Lepisosteus oculatus: one gene and its partner. The protein of the gene in region 2 interacts with the protein of the main gene of each other region in a biochemical or structural test. Links are inferred from orthologs where the notes say so. Each region holds a gene or a part of one and is shown on either strand. Other genes may lie near its edges.

What was found.
Region 1: of the proteins of src (region 2) and tamalin, one has a biochemical effect on the other in vitro, tested with the Homo sapiens proteins (2 studies listed by BioGRID and IntAct, with this or other methods). The link is inferred for Lepisosteus oculatus from reciprocal best matches to the Homo sapiens genes SRC and TAMALIN.

What each region holds. Positions count from the first base shown.
Region 1 is NC_090696.1:15,727,531-15,736,858, forward strand, and holds the start of tamalin (general receptor for phosphoinositides 1-associated scaffold protein), read right to left. Parts: upstream 4,535-9,328; 5' UTR 3,897-4,534; coding exon 3,690-3,896; intron 1-3,689. Other genes in the region: dgkaa (diacylglycerol kinase, alpha a), read right to left, coding at 8,955-9,053. UniProt on the Homo sapiens protein: Plays a role in intracellular trafficking and contributes to the macromolecular organization of group 1 metabotropic glutamate receptors (mGluRs) at synapses.
Region 2 is NC_090711.1:12,029,146-12,039,635, reverse strand, and holds the start of src (proto-oncogene tyrosine-protein kinase Src), read right to left. Parts: upstream 4,539-10,490; 5' UTR 3,984-4,538; intron 1-3,983. Other genes in the region: protein MANBAL, read right to left, coding at 8,950-9,057. UniProt on the Homo sapiens protein: Non-receptor protein tyrosine kinase which is activated following engagement of many different classes of cellular receptors including immune response receptors, integrins and other adhesion receptors, receptor protein tyrosine kinases, G protein-coupled receptors as well as cytokine receptors.

The DNA.
Region 1 (9,328 bases), on a different chromosome or scaffold from region 2:
CTTCCAGCCACGCCGCCTGCCTCTGCACAGCCCCAAGACGGCAGAGCCAGAGCAACTTTTAATACCCCAGAGCATCCCCCAAAAAGAGAACTCCCCCCCACCCCCAAAAAAACAAATCAGCCTATTTCAGCGTCTGTTCAAGTCCCCTGTTTCGGGGTGGGTCCAATTTCAAATCCCGATGACTTTGCGACCTGTCCCGCGTTTTGGAAGATTTTGGACACCCTCCCAGGACTTTGCAGGGAGCCTCAACGCCCGAAAGGCCTGACAACGCTGACATTGTGCGGACCCCTGCAGGAGACCACCGATCCCAGTCTGCGCATAAAAATCCCCCAAATCATAAAAAATGAGGTGGCTCTCCCCACCCGCCCTCCCTGCTGTACAAACACAGTTCCCTTCCGCGGGCTCTTAACAGCCAGTCCGCTTCTGTTCGATCTCTGCCATGCATTGAAAAAAAAAAAAACAGGACTGCTCCTCGGAGTGCCGGTATGCTGTTAAACGGGCCTGAAGAAATACTGGCTTCCTGTACGAGCCACCACGCCGGACACCAACAGAAATTTTCCGGGGGCTTTTGAATGACTCTGTTCATAGCCCCCCGACTCCTGGGGGTCCCAGGGGAGTCTCGTGCGGGGGCGGAGCCCATCACACAATGTGTTTTTGTACCAGGACCCACTCCGCCGGTGCGTGTGCGTGGGGGAGGTGGGAGAGAGGGAGGGGGAGGGTGGGGGCAGTTTATTCACTTAGCAAAAAGCTGCACCTGGTGGCTCTCTGTGCCCAAAGCGACCCCTGATTCCGACTGGACTTGGGACAACGAGGAAGCAGGAATGATTGATCCTGGCCTGCCACAGCCACACACTCTTCCAGGACACCATTTTTAAATAATCAATAAATTTTACTATTTATATGGCTCCTTTAAAAATGGTCTCTCATAGTGCTTTAGAGAAAAAAAAAATTAAAAACGTTCTTTTTAAGAATGCCAAACCGCAGACATTCACACATATCATGCAGTCTCCTCTCACATGTTGGACTGATTATTCCGGATCCGAGTCCTCATGCACAACACTTCACACTTTGCTTGGTTTTCTGATGCAGTTTTTTGTTACAGTGCCATTAACCACCCTCCCCCTTTCAACAGAGAGCCATTGAGATAGGTTCGGGGGGGGGGAATTAGAGTCGCACACTACTCTGAAGCTGAACGGTCAAGCGTTCGGCCCTGCAGCCTGCGTCACGTTGATCTGCTTCCCCGCCACCTCAAACCAAGTCTCTTTGGATTGACCTCATGAGGCCTCGAACTGGACTGTAGGAGAACACCCTGCAGAGCTCTAGCCTGGGTAACTCCATGCTGGCAGATCAGACACAGTCAAAACATCCAAGAAGAGATCCGACTTTTTTAATCCAGCATCCCGAGACAGCCCCAAGTCTGTGGTAACACAACCGATTTCAAGAAACACAAGGAAGAAGTTCCTGCCTAGCGCTAAATGCTATGCACTAATTAATCTCATGGGGAGGGATATCTGCCCTCTTTTCTTGGTCTCAACAATAACTGGTTGACAGTTACCCTTTCCACGTTTTTCAGTGGTATCTGGCTGTATTTCACATGAGGTGCGTTTCTTTAAGGTTATCTTGGTCTGTATATTATCGGGGGGAGGGTTAGAAGAATCTTCCAAACTTGTCTCGTGTGTGTGAAAAGGTCACCTATCTGGAAAGAAATGGGTCCGGAGTTCGGCGTGCGAAGCCAAACTCCACAGGACTTCACTGTCAGAAAGCACCGGCTGCTCACGAAGAGCCCTCGGTGACGCACATAGTCCTTTCGTTGTTTCGCCGAGCGCTTCACAATATATAGAACTGTTTGAGAAATCAAACAAGCCCACGACCAGAGTGCTGAAAATTTTGCGGTAAACAAGGGGGGGGGTCTGCGCTCTGTGGCAGGACGGAGTGGGTGGTCTTGATAGCAGGGCGGATGGAGGAGGGAGGAGGGGGGGTCGGGCGCCACAAGTTTTAGGGGCTTTTTGTGTTAAAAGAAAAGAGTCCCGAACATCTTTCGGATAAGCTACAGCGCCTCGGCTTTCCGCAGCTGTAAGGCCGTCCTTAAAGCCCCGCCCCTCGCTGTTAATTGAGCACTCTAATTAAAACCGACACGTGCGTTTATTTGTGCAGTCAAAGCGGATAGAAAACTCGATTGCTTTATCTTGAGAACGGAGGCTGTTTATTTTTTTTTTTTTAAAAACAACCAGAATGTTTTGCTTTATTATCTGAAATTATTTTTCCAGGTGCGATTTGTATAACTAGGCATTTTCCTGCTGTCGTAATGTTTTCATCCTCGTTGCTGCTAAGTAATCGTCTTTTCTGTGACTGGTCCACCAAAAACAGCCCCAGTGTATTCATTACTCTGAACGACTTCAAGTTCACTTCGCTGCGCCAGTAATCGCGCTGCCGGCTACCCTTAGCAATGCAAATTACCCCAACTGCTGGATCAGCTGGTGTCCGAGGGCTAACAGACGCCAGACACTCCTTTACAAATGCAGTCTTGTTCGGATTCCCGCTGAGCATCGCTTAGCAAGGTGATAACACGCACACGTAGTTCCCCACATCTTGTAAACGCGGGTGGGAAATCGCCCACATTCTCCAAGAGGTGCTAGATTCCGCAGGCATCGCCACGCACAGACGCGCATCAACGCCTTTCCAACACAATTAGCTGACGTCTTGATCCAAAAAGGCTCACGACAGTCACTCCGTAGTTCCCTTTGTTAGGAAGCCCTACCACGCGGTTTTGTCGCATGATTTCCTACAATGACATCAGTAACTGGTCTTGTCGCGTTCGGGATGAAACATTTCTACATTCAAAACACAAGGCTCGCAAAGCGAAGCCGTGCGTCAGAGTTCATGAACTGGAGCGCAGCATGCAAATATCTGTGCGCTGAAGTAGACTTTCCAAACAGTGCCCAGGTGTCTGAGTCAGAACGCGGCGGATCTGCCCTTTCTCTTTCCTTACATTTCACAACCACAGAGCTTCAAATGATCTCGCACCTCTTCACGGGCCGGCTGCCTCCCTGGGTAATTATCTCCAGGCACTCTCGTTAGCATATGTACTCAGTGTGTGTGTGTGATGGGGGGTGAGCTGCCGACAACGGAGACTTGTGAAGCCCACGAAGTCAGATTCGGGTTCAGTTTTATAGAACACAGCAACGCTCTCCGGTACCTCAACCCAAGAATGACAGAAGTCCCTTTCCAAAAGAAACCGTAGGCGAAACTCGTCTTGAACAGAACAAGAGGTAGATTATGTCGCTGATGATGCACTTATTATCTGAGCGAATTTCCGTCAGGTGCCCTAATGTAAGAATAAAACTGTATCTTTAGACAAAATGTTCTACCACCCCAAATTAATAATAAAAACAGCTCCCAGGTAGCCACGGTCTAAATCTCTAGATCTCTTCACAAGTTTATTTTTTTTAACATTGCGTGTTTACCAAAACGCACCGACAGCGTCTTCAGTACTGGTTAGAAACCAATTTATTTTCAAACAAACCGGTTTACGATTTTAAAATAGGAAAAACAATACTCGAATATGGAACAAAAACACAAAAGCCATCGAATCCCAGCTTCGATCTGGGAAACTTAATATCCGAGTGCAGTAAGACGGGACTCGGTGTGCTGAGGCTCTCCAGGTGAGGTAAACCCACAGAAATATGTACCTTTTTAAAATTCCTGGGCAGTGTTCCTCCGGAGTAAGCCAGCGTCTTGTAATTGTAAACGTCCGAAGCGTTTTTGCACTTTTCCACCGTTCCGTAGGTGTCCGAGGCGGATGACTGGTAGACGTCGCCGCTGTCGTGGTGCGAAGGCAAGCGCCCTGGGTCGCTGGAGTTGACTTTCTTTAGCCTCCTGAAAGTCATGTTCTTCATGTTGGACTCCCGGTTAGCAAATAACACTAAGCTCTTTCCTGGCGGGGAAAGTTCGCGTAGCTCAGAAAACACGAGTCCTCTGTCAGTATGAGCCGCGCCGTGGACCCGGTTCCTAGCTGCCTCTACAGCTGCTTTTGAAAGCGCAGCCCCGGGAGAAACTTTTTGTGCGCAGTCTGTTATGGGCGGGGTGAGGAGGGACGTATCTCCGAGGTTCCTCTTTTTCAATGAAAGACGAAGCTTTTGTTTTCGGACTTTTAAACTCAGACCATGCTAAAAAAAAAAACACACCGCCCAGAACGCAGTCTCCTGCGAATTACAGCATTTTCTGAGGAACTAATATTTAAAACGAGTGATGTATTCCGTTGACTCTGCGGTGCTGCAGAGAGACTCGATAAAGAGTAGATCCGAATTGGCTACGATGAAACGCGTTACTGCTGTGACAGATTTGTGTTGAAACATCTTTCAAGAATGAGTTAGACGCTTAAAAACATTTCAAAAGCGACGGGGCAACACGATCTTAATATCGCCGTCGATGTCGGAATTCGCTTCTAATTGGAGTCCTGCCTTGTGATCACAGAGGTGCACAAAGAGAGGGGCTGGAGCAGAGACGAGTGACTTGGCATCGAGACGTGCTGGGTTCCCGAAGAGCTCCGGGGTTTCGCTCCACACCGCTGTAAAGCCGTTCTTCTAGAGCGCAGCAGTAAAAAATAATGCTGACGACATTTTCTTAAGCGAACGTTTCTGTTGTTCCGTTTACAGACAAAGCGCCATAGACGTACTTATCTATATAATTTCGTCATGGTCAGAATTACTATCGCAGATGTCGCTGCAAAGCCATGCCTTTGTAATATTGCCATTTGTTGCTTGATTAAAAAAAAAGTTTGATAAATACAGGTACCCGCGCGACCCTTGGGATGAGTTGCACATTCCCTTTAAAACAACAGAACTCCCCAGAAATTGAATAAAAACAACTGCATGTGTCCCTCCGAGTTGCCAGATGTTCACAGGGAGGGGGTGATGAAATGCAGTACACGGGCTCCCCCTACTGTATGTAGTCGGTAAAGACAAAAGTTGCGCTCTGAGCGTTGTTCAATTTTTAACACACGGTTTTCATTTACATTATAGACTGGAGTTTGATTACTCCGAGTTATAAAACCTCAGACACTTGAGCTAACAGCCAGACGGAGCCCCCCCGTCTCTCCTCCTTTCTCTGAGTAGTCTCATTCGTCTTCTGAGATTGTTTGCACATGTATGTAGGTTATTTTATATCTCGCACCACACCAATCGGACCGGGTAATGTGCGTTAACTGACTGCGCCAAGCAGAGAGAGTTAAAGAAAACCCTTTTTTAGGCATGCCACACCAACGCCATCTTTGACAGCTTTAAGCCGGTTTATTATGCTCGTGTTTTCCAACCACAGGACCTACGGGGTCATAAGTTAAGTACTCTATTTGGGCTGTATTTTGTGTCTGTCTTTAAGAAAAGACCGTTGTACTGTTACGCTGCGCTCAGAGCTGTTACAGAAGTATTACACATGATGTATACCTGCTTGACTTTTTAAAAAAACCTTTCCTGGTCCTGGATGGTCAGTGTGTCTGCACAGTCAGTGTGTCTGCAGGGTGTCCAGTCCTGGTCCTGGGGGGTCAGTATGTCTGCTTGGTGTCCAGTCCTTGTCCTGCAGGGTCAGTGTGTCTGCTTGGTGTCCAGCCCTGGTCCTGGGGGGTCAGTGTGTCTGCTTGGTGTCCAGTCCTTGTCCTGCAGGGTCAGTGTGTCTGCAGGGTGTCCAGTCCTGGTCCTGCAGGGTCAATGTGTCTGCAGGGTGTCCATCCTGGTCCTGCAGGATCAGTGTGTCTGCAGGTGTCCAGTCCTTGTCCTGCAGGGTCAGTGTGTCTGCAGGGTGTCCAGTCCTTGTCCTGCAGGGCAGTGTGTCTGCAGGGTGTCCAGTCCTGGTCCTGCAGGGTCAGTGTGTCTGCAGGGTGTCCAGTCCTGGTCCTGCAGGATCAGTGTGTCTGCAGGGTGACCAGTCCTGCACTGACACGGTGATGGAACTGACCTCTTGTAGTCTTGACAGAGAAGATGGTCTGAAGAGACCAGTCAGCCCACCCCAGATAGGAGCAAGATGAGTGTACGACCCTCCGGCTCAGAGCCCAGAGGAGTGGACACCAAATCCTAGAACACTAACCACCATGACCGCCCTCTGCCACCCGTTTCATCCCGCAACACCTGGGGCTCGAACCCGGGTCTCTGGCGTAACGCAACAGGGAACCAGCCGTGTGAGCTAAAGGAGACCTCCCTCAGCCCAGGCAGCTGAGGTCCCTGCTACGCCCAGGGAGGGCGATGACGTCACCGTATCCAAACTAGCTCCGCTACACCAGCAGCAACCTTAGTTTCTCCCAGGTGGCCTCCCATCGAGGGAGGCTCACACCTGCAGAGCTTCAGTGGGCTGCCAGTTATGAGCTGCAGGGCGATATGGCTGCTGGTGCTAGTCAGGTCACTAATATCAGTAGCCCAGTCTGGTCCACCAGCATCTGTGACCTGATGTCCGCCAGACCAGTGACCCGACATCCACCAGCACCAGTGACCAGTGATCCGATGTCCACCAGCACCACTGACCAGCGACCCAACGTCCTATACAACCAGTGACCTGAAGTCCACCAGCAGTATTAGCCTCCAGGGGCCAGAGATGCCCGCTGTATTATCTTTACCAACATAGAAATCAGAGACGAGACAGAAGAGCCAGCCAGGCAGCAAACTGACACAGATTCTGTATTTGATTTATTATGACACTATAAGAATGGCTCCACAGAACATCGTCTCTAAAATGCAAACCAGGCTGAGCTGAGTCTGGGGACTTCAGCGTTTGAAAAGTATACATTAGCAAACACAATAAAGTGTGGTCTACAAACCACACTTACAGTTGCTGCACGTCTATTAAGATGTTGATATCACATGATTCCCAGGAACCTGTAATAACATAAACCATGTGCATTGGCTAGACTGTCACTGCAGAGCCAAGAGCAAAAGCAAAACATATACTGTGACACCTCAGTAAATGTCTTTTATTGAGCTTCAGAACACACACAAGTAAGTATTCATTCACTACAGAAAAAAAACTAGTCATTCAGTTTTGCAAACACATCTTGTAAGGAACTAATTTAGAACCTCAAGCAAAGTTTGACATTTCTCAGAATTGTCTACATAAGGATCTTCTCGGAACACAGAATCGTGGTTCCAAACAGCTTCTCGGATCACACAGCGAGATGTAATTCTGCCTGCTGTTGGTTCTTTACTGTACGACCGACCTCCAAATTTCTAGACAACCCCTTTCATTTTATCTTTTCCTCTTCTTGTTCTGGTTTAAATTGAATTCAGCAGCTAATTAAAGCCATCAAACACAGACCGTTATGATAGTTTTTTGAAGATTTTAATACACAGTGGTTTGATTTTACATGCTCAGCACATCAAAACTACCAAAGCAACAGGGTGTTCTAATAAATTCGCTGACTACTGTAGCACAAATCTGGATTCAGTTCACAGAGCAGCTATAGAACAGTACAGAGACTGTTTGAGTCCAATGAGTAAAAGCTAAACTATTTCCTCATGACCTTTTCTTGTTCTGCCCAGTAAATGTTCCACAAAAAAACACCTTCTAAAAAGATTTTAAACAACTGGATGCTAGGGGAAGCAATTGAGCGTCACTCAAAGCTGAAAAGTTCATGAATGACTGAATATTTAAGACTTGATAATCACTGTAATCCGGAAACGACAAGGGGACGTTTTTCCATGTTGCACAAGACCAAAGTCTTAAGGCACAGCAACCTCTGAAGTAAAAGTGCAACTAAGCCTCACCACCCAGCTGCAGGATAGTCTATTTACCTTTTACATTTCAGACAAAAAAAGTCTGAGGGACTGATTAAATTATCTCCTTGCATTACAGCAATTTGGTGCTGGCATTCATTAATCGGTTCAGATCTCTCTGCTACCACCTACATTAAATAAAAGGAACCATGCACACTTCCTCCAAAACATGCATTGTCTTTTTTCACACTACAGCCATACAGCACAAACAACAAGGAGCAGGATGCAGGATTGACACAATTCTCACTTTTGCAGGTATGCAGGACCCCAGCCAGCCACAGGGGGGCGCTGTCAAGCTGTAAACGGGAAAAAAGTCATGTCGAAAGTTAAACTTTACACTGATCTGCCAGTGTCTAAGAAATAGCATGCTGTACCTTTGGTAGTACCAGTTTTGTTTTGACTACCGACAACCAGACCAGGGTCTGACGGAATGTTTTTATCTGTCGCACCAGTATTAAATAAGAGGTCTGCTATGAGCAGCGTGTGCACTGGGAAGACACCTGTCTGACTCTACAACCACTATAAATATCACATCCACCCTTGCCTGCACCGTCTCTCTGTAAGTACAAGAATAGCAGACAATGCATTTCAATTATTTCAGAAACAACTGGAAAACACAAGAAAAGGCCACTGACAGGACAGCATCACTGTAACACCAACTGGAGATAAAAGCAAGAAAAGAGGATGAAACCAAAGTGTCCTGGAAATTCCCAATCCCGAATCCAGTCCGCGTGCCGTCATGATCCAACAATCCCATTGAATGCCGACTACAGCTCATGTAGGAATTTCACCTGTGCACTACAAGGTAGGGTCCGGAATTCTGTTTGGAAATACTTCGGGAATACTTTTGCACAGTCTGGGTGAACTATATGAAATCAAAACCTGGAATAAAGGGCGCTTGCAAGTGGCCGGGTTAGTGGCATTGAGGAGCTGCAAGTCGGAGGGTTAGCACAATGAATACGTGGCTGACCCTTTTCTCTGTTTGAAATGTTGGGATCTGTCTTTGAGGAGGTTTTCCCCTCTACGCTGATCAGAGTGGAAACAGCCATCATGCCATGATGTGACTGGGGGCTTAATTTCTGGGGAAAAAAAGAGAGTAAAGGGGTGTGTGCCGTCTGTCCGTCTCTCTCGCCGAGCCCCCCTGATGACGTGGGACAGGGGTGGGGGGACGGGAGGCCGTGCCTGTCGCAGTCCCAGGGGTTAACTCTCGGGGGCGCTCTTCTTCAGGTGGAAGAAACTGGAGGAGCGAGGAGGAGGTGCCATCAGCATATTGGCCTGGTTCTTGTGGGTGATGTGGATCTGGGGAAAGAAGCCCAGGCAGGTCATGTCAGAACGGGCACCCGTAAGCCAAAAACACGGACGGATCGTCACGACCGGTTCTTCGTTCTTCACTTGGGATAAAAAAAATGAGTCCTTGGCTAGGGGTTATCTGACCACTCGAGAACGGGTGTTAAGAGGTGCCACTTTCCCACTGCAGAGCGGGTGAGGACGCTGGCCCTCGGCTCTGCTTCTTCATTTCACCCAGTGATGGAAAAGGCTGTTGCACACGGGTCCGATAAAAAAAGCACAAGTAA
Region 2 (10,490 bases):
CAAAGCAAAGAAAATGGAACAACTTAATATCGCACCCACGTTTCCAAAGTTCAAAATGATTTCTGCCTGTATAAACAGGCAAATAAAGATTAAAGCATCTACAGATCTTGTTACTTGTTGCTGGTGAATTACAGATTCAGTAAACCAAAGTTGCAGGAGGTTAGTAAACTCCTAGTCTAGAAAACCAGGGAGTGGTACAGTATGTTAGTCACATTCTGTATCAGAGTTTCATTCTGTCAAGTGTGGAAAAGTACAAGCAAGCAGAACTGAAAAAGGACAAAATGTGTGAATGAGTGTTTGGTCATCTGGCTGGCACCCGCCTGAGCTCAGCCAAGCGTCTGTGCCGGTAGACAAACTGAGACAGAGTGTGATGATCAAGTGACAAGCTGCAGTCAGAAGGAAACCCCCAAGTATTTTTTTTTTCATTTTTAAGTGGGAAGACACTCCAAACTTTAATCCCTTTCACTATTTCTGACAATCTGAAGTAAGCAAGGGGAATTCCATGCACTTTAGAGAAAGATCCCCTTGCTCTGCAAAGGCAATAAATTCAACAGGGATATGTCTTCCTAGGCTTGACAATTTCAGACACCTTGGGAGCCCTGAATAGTACTGATGCTTACCGGGATAGGCTCCAGCTCCCCCATGACCCTGAACTGGATAAATTGGTTAGAAAACGAATGAATGGATGGACGATCAAGCCTTCTACTCAAGTCAACTGTTTCATGGGAAACAGACTTCCGGTGTTATTAATCTTAGGAACAAACAGTATCTTTATTCTGAATAGAGGGATTTACAATGATATCATTTCTGGCTTTGCACCAGCTTTCCAAATTCACGGCCCACTTTTCAGAATTACTCTCCAGTATTATCATGCTCCTTTTTGCTAACATGTCGAACTCAGGGGGCTAAATGGTTCTCACACCTACAAAATGGCATTTGGAGTGAAGTCATTGCCGTCATTTCTTATCCTGTATAGCAATTAAGGTTATAAATAAAAACGTGGCTGGAGGCGATACAGAATTTCCACTAATTTCTGCCACATTCTGGGGAGTACTATTCTCAATCGAAGGGAAAATAATGGCTAATGTTCTGACGAACATTTGGAATACTTGGAACAACATATACAATATGAATTATCCTGTATAAAGAAGGTATGAAAAGAGGAGTATTGGCGTCATACACAAGGCTTAAATGATCAGAAAACACTTTGTTGCAGCATATTCATTGCAGACAAAAGTCCCTTTTCGGCTGGGTAGAAAATATGCATACCTCTTCTAACAAAATCATTTAAAAACATTTAGGGGTAATTTTTGCTTGCACAAGATGCATGATGGAAAAAGAAGAAGTATTTGTACACTACAGTCCAACCTACAGTACTCTAAAAATTCTATGCAACTACGACACTTCCTGCAAGTCGCTTGACAGTACTCTTGGCGTGAGTATTAGGTTTAAGGTCCTGGTAGTGGACCACATTACTTGGGACACATGGACACTGCTTATAATATATCAGCCTGTCTTTTGGGTGAAGAAAAATATTTCAACTTGAAGTTAAAACAAAACCAGAAAGTATTAGGCAGACGGACACAGAGTTATACATCATGCTATGTTATGAATTCCACAAATACTATTTGGCATACATGTCATTTGGCAGCTATGGCAAGAAACTGCAGTTATCTACAATATAGTGGCAAGCAATGATTTATACAGTTTAAAAACGTCTTCAATATGCAGGCCCTTTTATAGCTTCAGTGCCATGATCATGTGACAATGTTTAACCAATGAAAGGCCTTTATCATTCTGTATGATTAATAGGGTGTACCTGTACTTTATTACCAACCACAATGCAACTCAAGATTTAATGAATGCCATGGCCTCCAGTCATGTATCACAGTAATGAAGGTAAAAACCTGAATGAAAACAGGCCAGATGCAATATTAATAACCCAAACAAGGGAAACTGAGAAACTTTATAATAAGATAAAAGGCAAATGCAGAGGGTTGTACAGTATGTGCTCCAGTGTTTACATAACGTGATGCTCTAATTAGTCTTTTGTGACAAATACAGTAGGTAGAAAAAGCTTCTGGTGGGCATCATCACATAGCAGATGCTGTTACTTTATCAGGAGCTCAAATCTACTTCCAGTCCAGTCATCTTGCATGAATGGAAAAATACTAAAATGTAAAGGATTATTAGACTTTTAATGGAATTTTATACTAGATGGTTACTTTACAATATTTTCCAACTGGATACATATCCTGCTACACAACACACCTGACACTGTTGCAGGTTTTGCTTAGATCCGTATCAGCCCTGCGTGTGTACGTTTCCTACTAAAATGTTGTAACACCGCACTTGTGAAATTTTGTGAAGTTGCTTCAAAACAAATCTCAGGGTTGGCATTAATTATCCAATCCCCACACACAAATAAGCGCTTGCAACTAGTTTAGAGGGAAGCAAATTAATGTTGCACACTGCCTGTTAAGTTCCTGCTTTAGAAATTGGTTTTGATGGAACTGCCAGAAAGCATAATAAAAACCCTAGAAAAGTATAACATTTCAAGGAGTATTTATTGGGTGTGAAATAAGTCAGAGACAGCATTAAAATTAATATACAGTATATGTATACTATTCTTCAGTACTCACTAGAAAGTCAATGCTTTTAGGAATTCCTGAAAAAAATATGTGTTTTATCACGGTACAGGAATTCTATAGCGGACTCAACGATCACGGAATATAGATCACAGTACTGTAGTCCTAGAGGTTTCCTACTTCTGCTGTGACTGGAGACTTTGAAATGACTTCTGAGACAGTTTGCTGCTACGGCCACATTCTCTCGAAATAATTTCAAACAATGATCTCGGGTGTCTACAGTACGTCTCACTCCACTCAGTGTCCCGACAGAAATCCAGACTGCAGTATTTCTCAACACACGTGATGAGCAAGGATAAATGTCAAAACCTGTGTATTGTCTTGCAAAAAAGAAAACTACAGCTGGTGTGTCATGAATTCTAAAAACACAACCCTTAACTATGCTAAGGGCAAAAAGAATGAAAAATTACTCGTTCGAACTACACATTTTGACAACTGTCCTGATGTGTTTATGACGAATTTGATGTTTTTCATTGGAGCAAACGCTGGCCAAACATCATGGAAACAAATTCAAGTCATGCCGTCTTACATTTCTTTTAAAGAGATCATTCTGACCCAGCTCACTTTTGTGTTATCTAAGGTGTTAAGAACAAAGGGATTGTTGCAATTCTTTCCCTTAAACATAGTTACCGACATTTGCATTACGTTTATGCTAACTTAATGGACAAGACAGATTCCAACAAGGTGAGTCATACCCGTATGTATCTTGCTTTAAAAAGAAATGTTATGGGTGTGAAAAACCATAAAAGGACGCAGTAATTTAACTGTTCGTCTCTTAAGTCAACTTTAATTTTAAAATAACAAGCACCTAAAAACAAACAAAAAACTATCGTTTAGGTCGCACGCAAACTGGACAAATAACAGAAAACAGCAAAGGTAATTTAGCCATTTGCGTTGTAGTCATCATTTTATTTACAGGCTTGATCGATGTCGTTTACTTTAGGCTAGAAAAGCCTAAGAAACTACAGAAATATACATTATAGGCTTAACTGACACATACTAACCGGTCCTTCAGCGGATGCCTCTCTGTTAAGAGAATCATAAACCGTAGGGAATTGTTATCTGCTTCAGACATTGACAGCAATATAATAAGAATTTTTAAAAACGACTTGGGAAAATGAGAATCAATGAGAAACCCACTGAGACGTGGTCGGCTAGTCCCAGATTAACATTTGGTTTACAAGATGATTTCTCACGCTGAAGAGAAAACTATACACTGTATCTCTTTCTGCCTTTTTCAGTAATGCAGGGCTACCACAGACTGTCATTGATCCTGTTCTAAATGCCAAGTATCCGGATCGGTTTAGGCAAGACAGAAGAGAATAAGTTACTCACCTATTCGGGTTCTTTATATCCTTTTGGTAGCCTTGGTCTCAAATGCGACGTGTTCCTTTTGAATGAAGTCCGAGGTGTTACTGTTACTCCGTCATCCAAAGAAACACACACACACACAAAAAGACAACCGATACGGCACGCAGGGCTAAGAGCAGAAACGAAATGCTAGGAGTGATCTGAAATCCCATTCAAGAGATCGGAGGGCTGCAGCGAGGTCATTGCGGGGATTGCCTGGGGAAAAAAAAAAACAGCACCGATTTTGAGTGCTGAATTCAACTTTTATAAAATCCAAGAGATTACAAAAGGCAAGGAGATATCCACCTCCCGAATGCCTTGCCTAATAAACACATGGATCTGGGGGAAAATGGGAAAAAAAAGAAAATAGTTTATTACGGGAGATCAATCTTTTGCGCAGCAGCGCAGTGCGCTGCCTAATCACATATGGTGAAAAACAGACCTTGGCTGAAGGAGGCAGACAGCGAGACCATTCGCAAGGCTGGGAGCGAAAGGGGAGGTAGGATCGGCCGAAGGGCGCTACGGAATCGGCGTAAAAGGCTCCCAGCTGGTGTGGCTGGGCGGCTATCCCACTGCTGCCTGCGTACGATCTTTTAAGAATCGGAAGAAGCCAATGGATTTTAGAAGGAGGGGGTTTGGGAATTTACATATAAAACAACCCCGCCTAGTGGACACCAAAGGGGAACGCTGCTTCCCAGAAAGGATGGCCTTGCTGGTGCCCATATATGAACACCTTGATGTGACACGTTATATATAGGCTGGGGGAACGCCTGTGCATGACACTATAGCGCTGCCAGAAAAAAAAAAAGACAGATTTTTCGAAGTTCGTGTTTCTGATGACACAGGATTGTGGGTGACTGGCTTTCAGGGGTTTGGACTGTACAGTTGTAGGCGAGAGACTGAACATAAAAATAAATCAGGAGCACTGACGGAACTTGGATGGATCGTGGCTAGTGGATTTTATACATTCCAAAGCAATCTGAGCCGCTGGCCCTGTAATTGACCATTTCTGGACAAACAGAGTACTGCGCACATAGCTTTGCCATACACACAGGCACAAAATGTATTTTTAGGAAGAATGAGACAGTAATTAATCAGCAGTAAGGTTCTGTTAAATACCAAAGTTCCTGCTGTGAATCTGTGGACTTCATACAACAACAATAAAAATCTGATTCTGATACACTCACCAAATGTCCAAAAAATGTTTCCAGAGTGAAGAGAATGCAAAGTTAAGCCAACTGAATGAATTTATGTGTTCATTTTTAGAACAGAGAGGAGGAAGCGTTCTGGGCCCAGGTTCAGTGTTACTGTGTAACAGTGCTTCAGTGTAAGTGAATGTCAAAATGAAATAGGAAGGAGAGGTGTGGCACTCCTGTAGGTTTTATCCCAAATCAGGAATGACAGAATGAGTCAGCAGAGTATGAACAAAAGATTACCTGATGTACAGCGGGCTGGGTCTCAGGATCAGCCTTCCATTAAGAAATATCTTGCCATTGAGAAATGTATAAGACTTAGATCATTCCTTAATAGATACCTTTATCCACAGTTACTTATGTACAATACATGTATGATTGTGGCCCAGTTGTTTAGGGCAGTAATGAAAATGACTGCTTTGGAACTGACCACTCAGTTGGAGGTATGATACCCAGCCACCTTGTCAATGGTGATACCATCACTCCTTTCAGGCAACTGGATAAGATACTTTGATACAGAAAAAAACACAAGAGTAACAGAATGGGCCACATGGCCTCCCCTTGTTTGTAACCCTTATTTCCTGATGACTCTGCTCATGGAGGTGACAGCAGCCATCCAGCCATCTTCTTATCCAGCACCGGGGCACGCTGGGAGCTGGAGCCAAATCCGGCAAGCAGTGGGCACGAGGCAGCATAATTCCTGGAAGGAACGTGCTAGTCGTTCTCAGGGCACACACACCAGGGCCAGGTTTTATAGAAGCCAATCAATCGGCTGGCATGTCTTTGGACGGTGAGAGGAAACCGGAACACCTGGAGGAAATCCATGTGAACCCAGGACCCCAGCACTGTGAGACAGCAATGCGAACCACTGGTCCACTCCTGACTGTGACCACTTTTGAAGATTGGAATGTAACACCATAAAAATGCTATTTGTTCAAAGGGCACAAAACTGAGCCAAAGTAAACACGCTTCAGTAACCTTTAACACCTGCCTATGCATTGATAATGCACAGACTGATTAACAGGACCATTTTATTACATAGATAATACAGTTCCTCTCTTCTGGCAGTAATATGTTTGATCTAAATTGTACCTAAACAAGCATCACTCTAAAGGTGAATACTTGTACTGTGCAAGTTTTATTCAGCCTTTCCATAAATTACAGAACTGTGCAGAGATTTATTATCATTTCTCATATGGGGGTTAGATTATGTTAGTAATAGTTCATTTGCATTATTCTAGTATAAAGACATTCTAGTCTAGATGAGTTCCATAACCAACAGACTCTATTAACACAGTAATAACATCATGTCCATTTAGACAAATGACAACGGAAGTATTTTAACAGAAAAGGCCTTTTCCATTCCAAAGGGGATGATGATGCAAATTCCAAAAGATCAGTGGCCCTGTAAATAAACCTTAGAGAAACTGACAATGTAAATTAGTTACGCATGTATACTCTATGTATACGAACACCTACAAGTTACCTGGTGTATCCACCTTTCTAAAATTTTGTAAGCAGAATCCGCACATGGTATATAACTGTGGACCTCATGTTAATGTTTAGCTTCCATATTTTAAGATTTCCAAGTTGAGACATGTAGTTTAAAAATACCAACTACTCCAGAATCCCCCTTCTGTTTGACAGGGTGTTTTTTTTTTTGAAGCTATGGATGTGAATGTCACGTTCACATAGGAAAGAATGTTCTTAAATCACTTGGAGCTACATATTGTCAAGAGTGACACTGGACTGTGAAAAAGCATGGCAATAAATTGTTTGTGCAGTGGCATTTGAGCAGTCTCAAACCAGGCTTCCTCCCCGCATGCAGACAGGACAGATTCTAAATCCATGTGAAATTACAATTACACAGACTCATGCTCTAGAAACCAGAAGTTGAACGCTGCTGCAAGATACCAACCCCCATCGGAACTGTGTGCCTTCGCTTTTTCAAACTGAGCTCCTCTCGGATACAGTTCCAGATCTGCAATGACATTAATTTTTGCTCACCCTTCCCGGCTACATTGTTTGGCTCTCAAAATAAAAGTGAAAAAACCTGCACGAGTCTAAAAGCACAAAACAAAGCTTTGCCAGACTTTAATAAGGAGAAACACAAAAATGGGTAGAAAAATTCTCAAGGCGGAATTTATTTCCTTAGTGTTCCATACATTTACAGGAAAACATCTCAGCTTGTACCGCACATCAGACACTAAGGAAGCGAGTTCAGTCTTGCCTCAGTTTCTTTAGCGCTTTTGTGCACAGACATGATGCCACAAGAAAAAAAAAGGAAATCAAAATGTGAAGAGATTCACTCTAGGAACAAGGCATGCAATGGCGGATGTTAATATTACATACATTTTTTTTAAAAAGGGAGTAAATGCCGGCACACAAAAAACATCAAGCCCCAGACAGAGCAAAAAGTGTTTTGCAATATGTAAAAAAACAATGCCGTGACACATTCTGAAGGAGAAATGTAACAAACAAGACTAAGTTGAGGAGAGCATAAACAAAGCCCACGTTAAACACAGTGATTTTCTTACAGCTGTGCACACAACAAGAATGGTAGTAAAATAAACTGTTCCAAACCTTTTCAAAGAGGTTTTACACCAGTGTTCAAGAGCTTAAAATGCATTGTCTGGAGATTTCACAGAGTTTAGGTCAAGTGTAGATAGTACTGTACCTAAACATTACTTGTAAATGATAATACAAGGACAAGTAGTGGCTCCAATGGGTATTTGTCAACCAAATGTAAAAATACCTATTAGAAAAACCGTACGTGCACTTTGCGTACTATTTTGAGTCGCAAGATTACTTGTGCTTGGACGCTGCATTCCTAAGTATGCAATATTCAGTTATCATTCTCATGCATCTCCTATATATGGACAGGTGTAGTGAAAATGCTGGTTGGGGCCACTATATTTAAAGCACCCAATTAAAAATATATTATGTGAAAGGCCTGCCCAAGCACAACGTACTAAACCCAGGGAAGCACACAAAAGCTTTCAGAAGGAAATGATTTTGCTTCAAGTCTCTTCCATGTCCAGAATGCTTGGGAATGGACTGTTCAAACAAAGGGTCCAAATATTTGGTTTGAAAAGACTACTGAAGCCAACAACGAAAAAACAATGCCCACGTACGTAGGCCACAGTTAGTGAGAGCATGTGGTATGTCAATACCAGGAAGTTTCAGCTGGTCAGAGTCAAGGCTGCTATGCAGTGGTAAACAGATGACGATTGGCTTTAGTAGCATGAGAAAGTCTGAAACAGGTCTGTAACAGGTTCACGTGATAAAAAGTGAAAACGGCGTGCACAGGCCAGCGAAAGGTTTCATTCTGAGCTCTGAAGGGCTGCCTTCTGCAGATTCTTGGAATTTCACAGAAGCACTCCACTTCACCCCTTTCCTTGTGTGCTTCAGCTCATTCTTTACCTCTGGAATTTCCATTCACACTGCAAGCCAAAGCCCTAAGTGAGGTGCTGCAGAGCACAGGCAAAACATGACACCTAGGACTCAGCTCCTCCCCCACAGAGACTGTGGGCTTTCTGGAGACCACCCCCTTCACAGCCGGAGGAAACAGAGGTGTCCAACTCCACCCTGCCCTTGGCCTCAATATTAACCCCCTGTGCATGAAAAGGATTTCACTTTTTATCTATTTGAGATCGCTCAGCCGCCCTGTCACAAATCTGTCTCCTTGGCCTGACACAGCCACTTCCGATGCTCCTCCTAACTGCGATCTCACACGCGGGCACAGCCCCTGCGCCAGGTCATCTCTTTTTCTTGCTCTCCTTCTTCAGCTTCTGTCGCAGCTGGGGGGCGGGTCCTTTGGGTTTCTTGCTCTGCTCCGCACTGCGCGCATCATGGGGCTCAGCGTCCTGCAGGGGCAAAAGCACAGGCATTGAAGGACAGACCACGGACATGAAGGGGTAGAAAAGCCATCTGTAACCCATACGAGCTTCTCTTAGAACCTCTGAAGGTCAACCTTCACTTTTTCAGGTTTTCAGTGCAGGTGGTAGACAGCTCAAAAGAACAATAAGATCTGCTAGCGTGTTTAAGTTTCAAACAACGGTCTTGGCTCTGGTGTTTCAGGACGTTCGTAGGTAATACACATCAGCAGATGGGCTTGCACTCCTGCCTCCTTTCATGAGCTGGGAGATGGGCTAGCGACGGGCTCATAACAGCACACCAGTATACGATATGATACGCATGTTTTACACTTCACTTTTAACCAGATAATCTTGAATACAAAAAGTGTGAAGGGTTTATTATCTTCACCTTTATAAACAATACATAAACACACAAAACTACAGTTGTTAATTATGGGCTCATTTAAATGTGTTCAAACAAGGCTTAAAGGGAGCGTAAAAGGAAAAAATGTTAAACATCAGACATCCAACAGCAGGTGAAGCAATTCCTTTGCTCTGTGAATGTTTACAGTGATGATAATTGAGGGAAAAATCTGTACACAACTGCGACCATTAGATTATTATTAGCAAAAATCATAATATGGCTCAGCTATATTGTTGAAAGTGATTCTCTGGCATCCTCAAAGTGCAAAATGCACCAATGCCATAAAACAAACAGAACCTGTACCGTTGACCGATACCTCCCATTCTGGATGTGTAACAACATGATGCCAGAGAAACTCTTGACTTTGGGGATGTCGAACCGATGGGGACTCGAACGCTGGCTGCGGGTTATAAAAGCAAGCACAATCCCGCCTTGCAAAAGATACCAACTCTCAGACTCTCACATATTCCTCTCATGATGCCTTTGGGAAGTATATATATTCAAACAGCTTCACTGACCTTCATCATACAAAACATGAAAACACAATCTGGAAATTCATTTCAAAAGGAGTTGGCCGTACATCATATGGTCAATGTGAGCATAACATTATGTGCAAAAACAATCGGTTTATTGGGGGGGGAGGGTACTCAAGGCATTTTCCTTTTACTAATTAAGATCCTTAATTTTAAGGATTAATCTTATTATTTGATCTATTACCAACATAACTGTTAAAACACTATTTACTTCATATTTGATCCTTCTTAAATACTGCCCTCTAGTGGGTTTTGTGTGTAATCTCTAACAATGCAGTTTCAGCCCAGTCCTCGGGAGAAACAAAAGCACTTTCCCTCAAGATACAATGAACATCAAGCAATAGGAGAATGCCATCAAAGCAGCAATGTAACAAGTGTGTTCATGCAGCTGTTAGTAACAACATCTGCTAAATACACCTGTTAAAGACATCAAGTAACTCCATACTATCACAGCTTGAGCTTAACATATTCGTAATGATTCCTTG